2 linked regions of the Coturnix japonica genome follow. Each later gene encodes a partner of the first gene's protein in a complex. Links are inferred from orthologs where the notes say so. Each region holds a gene or a part of one and is shown on either strand. Other genes may lie near its edges.

Region 1 (4,350 bases):
CGCACAACGGTGTAACTCCATGGGCTGGGGAAAGCCATACTCACACAGGTTTTTGCATTTTGTCCATGGACAGATGAGAGGATCTGTGTGACGCTTTGTGCAGGCTGCTGGCTGAGCAGACCGTGTGCCAAATGAGGACTTTATTTAATAAATAAATAAATAGGTCGATAAATAAATAAATAGATTGATAAATAAATAATCCTCTGCTTTACAGTGGAAATCTGAGGGGGGAGGGAAAAAAGCGGGAGACAGTGATCCGGATTTTCTTGTCGGATTCCCCCAGCTCCAACGTATCACTATCAATCGTTGTTCCTATTTCTAAGGGTTAATTTCAGGAACGTTCCAGGGCCGTTCGCCACACTTCCCCGCGTCCATTCACAAAAAAAATCCCAGAACGCCCTCAGTACAGAGCGAGCCCCAACGCCTTTTCCTTGCTCCCCGCCGCCCGGCCCCGTTAGAGCCCTCCTGCACTGCAGGCACCTGCTGCTGCAGCTCAGCTCAGCTCAGCGCTGCCTGGCCCTCAGCCCCATTCAGCCCCGTTCCCCGGCCCCAAGGGGTGGTGGAAGCCCCCAGCCATGTCGTGCCGGGCTACTGCGGAGCACGGCGTGCAAGATGGGCTCCGCGGGGAGCGCGTCGGCGGGGGCCGGGGCCACGGCAGCGCCGTGCGTTAGCCGCTGCGTCATGACATCCTCCGAACCGGCCGCCCGCCCCCGCCCCTCCGCGGCTGCGGGGACCACTGCGCGGCGGCGGCGGCGGCGGCGGCGGCGATGGACCCGCCCGAGCCGGTGGGACCTGTCGGAGCGGCCGGTCGCGGCCACCTGTGAGCAGCCTCAGCCCCTCGCCGCGCCGCACCCCGGTAGTCGCCGCCACGCCTCTCTCGCCGCCCGAGGGACCCGACGGCCCCACGGGGAGCCGGAGAGCCGTCTAAGCCGGCGCCCCCTCGACGCATCTCGGCATCCCGGGCCGTCTCGCACTGCATCCTCCCGCGGAGCGCGTCCCTCGGCGGAACGAGGGGAGGAGGGGCGGGAGCCGGCGGCGCCTCTGCGCGAGTGGGAGCAACAGCGTGAGCAGCGGCAGCCTGCGCCCTGGAGCGAGCTCCCGAAGGATGGGCAAGGAGGCGGCGGCGGCAGCGCCCGCGCAGATGGGCCAGCGGAGGATGAATTAGGAGCCACAGGAGGCTGCTGCCGGCACCGCGGGGGGAAGAGGAGAGGAAGGGGCTGGACTTGGAAGAGGAGGAGAAGGAGGAGGAGGGTGCGCAGGGGGGACTGAGTATCGCTAATAACAAGTTAAAGACTAATAACAATAATAAGAGAAGACCTCCGAGAAGATCCGCGGCGGAGGCCGAGTGATCCCCGCGGCGGCAGCGGGCTCGCAGCGCTGGGGATCTCGGAGAGACGCTCGGCGGCATCTGCGTGTGGCGGTGGTGGTGGATGATTTTTTCGGGGGTGGGCGGGCGGGGGCTGCGTATGCGGGAGAAGGAAGGGGTGGGAAGCTGAGGAGCGGACTACCTTGCCGTTATTATTATTTTTTTTATTATTATTTTTATTGCTATTATTTACGCCGCGCAAGGAGGACGCTCGGAATTCACCGGCCTGCCGGCTCCCGAGAAGGGACCGGGGTTTTGCGGCGGTCGCTTTTCTTTCCCGATTATTTTTTGTTTGTTTGTTTTGATTTGGCTTTTTGTTCTCCCTCCCGTTATTTTCCCTTTCCCGCTGAGCGGTGGCAGCAATATGGCTGGTGATGGGCTTTTTGGGGGGCGCTGGCGGCGGGAGGAGCTCTCGGCAGCCCCTGCGCGCCCGGCTCGCTGTTAGCTATGGCAAATGGCAGCGGCGGCGGCTCCTACCCGGGCGGCAGCGGCGGCGGCATTAGAATGAGTAACAATATCAACGCCAACAATCTCAACACAGACTCGTCCTCCTCCCCCGTCAATGTGCCCAAGATGGATGCGCTCATCATCCCGGTGACCATGGAGGTGCCCTGCGATAGCCGCGGACAGCGCATGTGGTGGGCTTTCCTCGCCTCATCCATGGTCACTTTCTTTGGGGGACTGTTTATCATCCTGCTGTGGAGGACCCTCAAGTACCTGTGGACTGTCTGCTGCCACTGCGGGGTCAAAAACAAGGTAACTCTCCTCCCCTTCTTTTCCCGGTGGCGGTGAGGAGGAGGAGCGGAGCCCAGCCTCTGCCCGGGATACCCCTCGGTGGTGCGGGAGTGCTACGGGGGGTGGGTGGCAGCGCTGTGCCCGCTCTGCAGGGCCACCTCGGGCTGCAACATGGGGAGCGAGCCTGGCGGCGGAGGGCGAGCCCCGAAAGGTGCCCCAGGCTCCACTCGCCCACGTGGGGACGCGGCTCTGGGGGCACCGAAGTGGTAGCGCGCTGGGACGGAGCGGTTCAGAAGTTGTACGCACCGCCGGGGCCGCTCGTGGCAGAAGCGCGACCGGTGCTCGTTGTGCGCTGCGAGCCCTCCGTTCTTCTGTGTGGGAAACTTCGGCAAAATTAACGTGGTGAACTTCTCACTCCAGTCAGTCTTTGTAAAGCTAGTTCTACACGACTCTAGATTCTCGTCTATCACACTTCTGTCTCAAAAATTAGGTGTAAGTATCTGGAGTTGTATCTGCTAGAGTACATTCAGAAATAAGGCGCTAGATCTCGTCTCTCTAAACTAATTGTGATATCTCAGAAGCGACCTTTTGCATTTTTTTGCCTATTACCAACAGGAAAAAAGTGTAGTATGTGCAGTAAGATCAGTTTCTGCTCTGAAGGTCCCTATCAAGCCGAGGCTGAAATCTCGCCTAGGTCCAGGCTTTCATTTTTGTTTAAGACAAATGGGATAGAAAGTGTTAAGACTCTGTATTTGTGAAAGTGGACTTTGACAGACCCCAAAATAGACCAGCAGCTGGAGTTTCTCCCCTTCCCTTTTCACATTTTTTGGATTACAAATGGAATAATATCGGCTTCAGTTATTCCTGGCACACGGACACCCACAAAAACACACACACCTTTTAATATATGGTTGCTAGGCTGCTGGTTTGCTTTGACGTACAGTGAGCTGTCTTCCCCTTTCTCCTGTGTCCTCTCCTTGAAGCACACTCCAAAGGGCTTCAGACAGCATCCAGCACCTATGGGAACCAGCTACAAAGTTACGGTGCAAGGGGCTCCCTCTTTGTTTGCCATGAGCTCAGTGAGTGACTGGGAGACTGAGTGAGCCCCTCTTCTGCCATTGAAAGGTGTATCTCTTGCAGGGAACTGGGCCTATCTATGGAAGAAGGGAGCATGAGAGATGGAGCATAAGTAAAAGCTATTAATCTGGCCTTAAGCTGCAGGAAACCTCCCAGGCTGTATCACTTCTCTGTAGACATGTTTTATTCTGCACAAAATCAAACCCAAACTTTTTCAGAGAGGTGATAGCTAGATACGATGACAAAGCTCAAATGCATTTGCTATAATTCACGTGTCTTGTAAAATACCATTTCCTACATGGCAATTTTCAAGTGGTGGAGTATTTTAGAATTGTGCTTATTTTCTTCTGTATGTATTTAGTATTCTCTGCATGATGAGACAAAGCTGCAAGGGGATCCTGAAGGAAAAGAAAATCCTACAGGTCATTGCCAGCTACTTCTTTCCTTGAGAGAATTAAAAGTGGAGCGAAGAGGTTTCTGTGTAGAGTTCATACATAATGTCCTGGTGGGTCTTGTTGGTCCAACAGCCCATTGTTGGGGTGTAGTTCAAGCAGATAATTCAGCCCTAATTCAGTACAGATAAGCATATCTAACTTGTCTTTAAAACCTTTTGGGCTATATGTATCTGCTAGTTAAATAACAGATGTTGTTAAGGGGTTCCGACTCTAACAGTCTGAGTGATTTGGCAGATGGCACTTATGTGGGGTTGCAAGATCTGAGTGTCTCACATATGTGAGACCTGGAGGAGCTGCCGTGGTCATGAGCATCCCTGGGGCAGGAGGAGAGAGGGCTTTGCAGGAAGGGGGAGATAGATTTCTCCTTTTAGATCGTGTCTGGTACACTTGTAAAGGTTTCCAAGTCTCTGGTGAGCAAGAACTGTCATGGACTGATCCTGCATTCCTTCCAGGCTAAAATGGGGGGGAATTCCATGTGGGAAAGGAGTAACAGTTACTGGAGAACATTGTTTTTATTAGTTAGGGTATGAAGGTGGAAGGAAAATCTATAAGTGCCTTGTGCTGCATGGTAACTTGGGATGGGCTGCCTGGGCTGCAGGTGAAAAATGCAAAAGCATGCACACACTGTGTCAACTGTATTGGATATGCTAGTGAAAGCCATTTCACAAGAAGCAGCAGCTCCTCCTGCTGTGGAACTGAAGAAGTTTTCTCTGTGTT
Region 2 (3,295 bases), on another chromosome or scaffold:
GGACTAGTTACCATCTAACTTTTGAGACAGAGTGGTGGAACTGGGAGGACGTGATCTCTGCTTCACGCCAGCGCAGCAGTTTGGTGGTGGAGTTGGGATTCCTCCAGGGATGCTCCAATGGTTGTGAGTCATTGGCCCCGCTGGCTGGGGTAGATGAGGGGCCTGATGCTGCAGAGATACCGGTGGGGAAGCACTGTGTAGCAAACACAGCAGACACAAAGCTTACTAAAACCATGGTGTGAAGTCGTGTTAGCTGCTCTCTGACACTTTTACTGAATTGAATCCTGAGTCATCTATCCAAACAGCGGCTTTGACTGAGGAGTGAATATTATTAGCTTAGTACTGATTTTGAGCTGTGTAATTGAGACTGCATTTAAATTGCATAATGATGTTATTGTTGCTGTGATGTAGTGTAGGAGGTGCGCTATGTACTGATAGATCGTATGAAAAGCTCCCCGCATCATTAGGTTTATTCTGAATGTCTAATCTTAAGCGCTGTTCTCCGACTTCTTTGTAACAGACTGAAGAAAAACCATCAAAGTATTACAGGGTGGGACCCTTCCACTGAAAATGGATGTTGCTTCTTAGGCTGCAATTAAGCGCGAGGCATCCTAGCTTGCTTTCAGACACTTGGCATTTAGTTACGTTTTGATGGTAGGATTTCACACTGTGTATTGTGGGGGAGGACTGTGGAATTAACCTTTCAGAAACTGCCTGTTGCCAAAGCTGGAGGTCATCCCAGGTTCACCTACCAGCTCATGGCACTGGAAGGTTCCAGATTATTGTTCCTGTCTATCCCATCTAAGGAGCCAAAATGAACGCCGGGTTAGTGAGAACTATTGATGGCATCCTGGGGAAGCAAATGAGCTCCAATGTATGTGCAGCAGGTGATAAATCAAGTTTGGAGTTGGACTTAAGGTGCTGCCTGCTGCTCAGGGCCCTTACTGGGTTGAGTAGATCTTTCAGGGGGACCCGTAGGATTCATGTAGGGACCACTCCTTTCTTTGAGGTCGTTGTTTCTCAAGAGGTTCAACCAGTGAGGTTCCAGTGATTTATGACAAGATTCCATGCATTTCCTTTGTGTTTTTCCCATGAAGATACAGAGAGAAGAGACAGAAGCAAATCTAGTTCATTTTCAGATCAAGATAAAAGGGTGGGAACTACTGTAAAAAGACAAGACTTGAGTGTTGTGAGTGATCCAGGGCTACATCTCTGAAAGCCCAGTCTCAAGTGTGCTGTGGTTGGGGAGACAATGCGCTTGGTCTCCTGGGGCTTTGAAGCAGATATCCAAACCCAGGAGCTTGCGTCTCTATGGCTGACTTCTCTATGGTAGAAGCAGACACTGAACTGCTCTGCTGCACTGAGGGTTGGAACTTTCTGTGCTGCTTTTTGCTCAAGTAAAAGTGGCAGAAAACGTTCTTTGTGCCAAAGAATATCAGCTAGATATCAGATATCATTGTCTGCAACTTGCTGGAATACTTTGATTGTTTCCACATTCATCACCACAGCAAATCAAACCAAACACCCATAGGTGTTACACGGCAGGTTGGTTTGATAACAGAACAAAACATGATTAATCTTTGATTTTGTTTCTGAATGTTTCTGAATCCTTTTCCAGTACCTGCAGGGTGTAACTATCAAGTCAAGTCAAGTTCAGCTTACTTATTAGTTGCCTTTCTTTGGAGCCTGTATTAATTCTTCTTTGCCCATTTCAGTAGTGTTGGCATTCAGAGGAAGATGCAGAGAAAGCGATGCCTGGTGTTCTCAAGCACAAAAGTAACTCTGTTTTGCTGCATGTGTTGACAGTGTTCCTACATCCCTCCCTGTGCCAGAGATGATCAGGAGAACTCTGAGAATGTCACGTACAAGCAGAAATACTGGAAGGAGAAAGTGGGTTCACAGCCCTTTACTTGCTATTTTAACCAGCACTTGAGGTAAGTAATGTATGTTTGCATAGATGGAAGTGCTTATATGTGTGTTTAGCAACTGTCTCTTGGTTCTTTCTGCACAATGTGTATGTACATTCATGTAGTGATGAAGCTTAATGCAGGGAATTTAGTGTAAGACAGCTCTATTGGTGAAAAGCTACGTGGGAATGGAAAAGCGTTTTTACCACTTGAGGTAAAAAATACAAAGCTCTAAGGAGAGTTCCCTTTAAATCATGCAGTATTATGGCAAAAAGCATCTTTTTTATTTTTTTCAGTGCCTTGAGAGAACAGCAGTGATGGGGGTGACGGGCCCATGTAGATGAGGAAGGGGAAAGAAAATACTTAAGGTATCCAGGTCAGGCAAGGTTTGTGGGACTTTGCTTCCAGTTCCAAAGGGATCTGGCATGGAGAACTGAAGCAAGCTGGCAGGTACAGAGAGTCCTGACTCCCCTGGGTAGTCTGCTGGACACCTCAGGCCTTCAGGTTCCTCCTACTCTGGCTATGGCTGTTGTCCCCTCCCTGCTGAGACTGTAGTCCTGGTTGGCATGCCCTGGAGAACAGTCTGTTGTCTCCAGCCAGCTTTGTGAAAGTTAGCCATTAGCGACAGTGCAGAGAAATAGGATCTTTTAATCTCACTCAGAATTAAGTGCCTGACTATGTTGGGTGCCCAGAGGTGTTTGTCTATCTCCTGTAATGGAGCTTAGGGCAATATGCCCAGGTGCAGATACCCATGTGGTGTGCTGGGGTGGGTGAGCTGATTCTCATGTCACATCTGCAGCTGGGGCTGAGGCAAAGTTACGAGATGTGCTGCCTAAGCTCTGCTATTTGTTCTGTGCCAATTGTGCAGCACTTGGGAAAGGCTTTTTCCTTATATTTGCTGAATCCTGTATTGTTAAATGTTATTGCCAAATGTTATGGCTGCCTTGAAGTGCTGCTATTTCTTTGATTGTACAGCAATTTATATGCAGCAGAAGAAAGGCTCGCTGCCAGAGATACTTGAAGTTAGTCTATGCTGAAATGTGTACACCATCTATTTTCTTCTGGAGATAGAAATGAGCTTTGAAAGATAAGTTTTGCTGACTCTAAGGGTGCTTGCTTAGGTGTACTTTTGCAGCTCTGATAATTATGGAGCTTGCCAAGCGAGAAGAATCATACAAACAATGGAAAAATATGTTCAATTCAGGAGAAAAATCTGCAGGTCTTCTGTCAGCAGTTTTTGAACTGTGTGGTGCAGCAAACTGCTCCCTGTCTCTGTAAGACAGAAAGGGTGGAATAAAGTTCTAGAGGAATGAATTGGCATCATCTTCTCTTTATGAAATTTAATTTGGTAATGCTGTCAGAATTGTTACTGTGTGTGGAGCTCACTG

The links. The genes of interacting proteins can lie anywhere in the genome.
Region 2: the proteins of KCNMA1 (region 1) and KCNMB4 are in contact, whole or in part, in a cryo-EM structure (PDB 6V22), measured with the Homo sapiens proteins. The link is inferred for Coturnix japonica from reciprocal best matches to the Homo sapiens genes KCNMA1 and KCNMB4. Residues at the interface, in NP_001154824.1 of Homo sapiens: Phe98, Phe99, Leu102, Phe103, Leu106, Leu107, Arg109, Thr110, Tyr113, Leu114, Thr116, Val117, Asp238, Leu240, Trp241, Leu244, Pro327, Trp328, Asn330, Gln332, Leu367; in NP_055320.4 of Homo sapiens: Thr11, Glu12, Ala13, Glu14, Lys16, Ser17, Leu20, Leu24, Ile34, Phe35, Cys38, Trp39, His105, Thr164, His165, Val183, Leu186, Ile187, Leu190, Thr191, Ala194, Leu197, Ala198, Lys200, Ala201, Met204.

The regions. Positions count from the first base shown.
Region 1 is NC_029521.1:11,060,829-11,065,178, forward strand, and holds the start of KCNMA1 (calcium-activated potassium channel subunit alpha-1), read left to right. Parts: upstream 1-1,471; 5' UTR 1,472-1,813; coding exon 1,814-2,122; intron 2,123-4,350. UniProt on the Homo sapiens protein: Potassium channel activated by both membrane depolarization or increase in cytosolic Ca(2+) that mediates export of K(+). It is also activated by the concentration of cytosolic Mg(2+).
Region 2 is NC_029516.1:32,484,358-32,487,652, forward strand, and holds part of KCNMB4 (calcium-activated potassium channel subunit beta-4), read left to right. Parts: intron 1-1,806; coding exon 1,807-1,934; intron 1,935-3,295. UniProt on the Homo sapiens protein: Regulatory subunit of the calcium activated potassium KCNMA1 (maxiK) channel. Modulates the calcium sensitivity and gating kinetics of KCNMA1, thereby contributing to KCNMA1 channel diversity.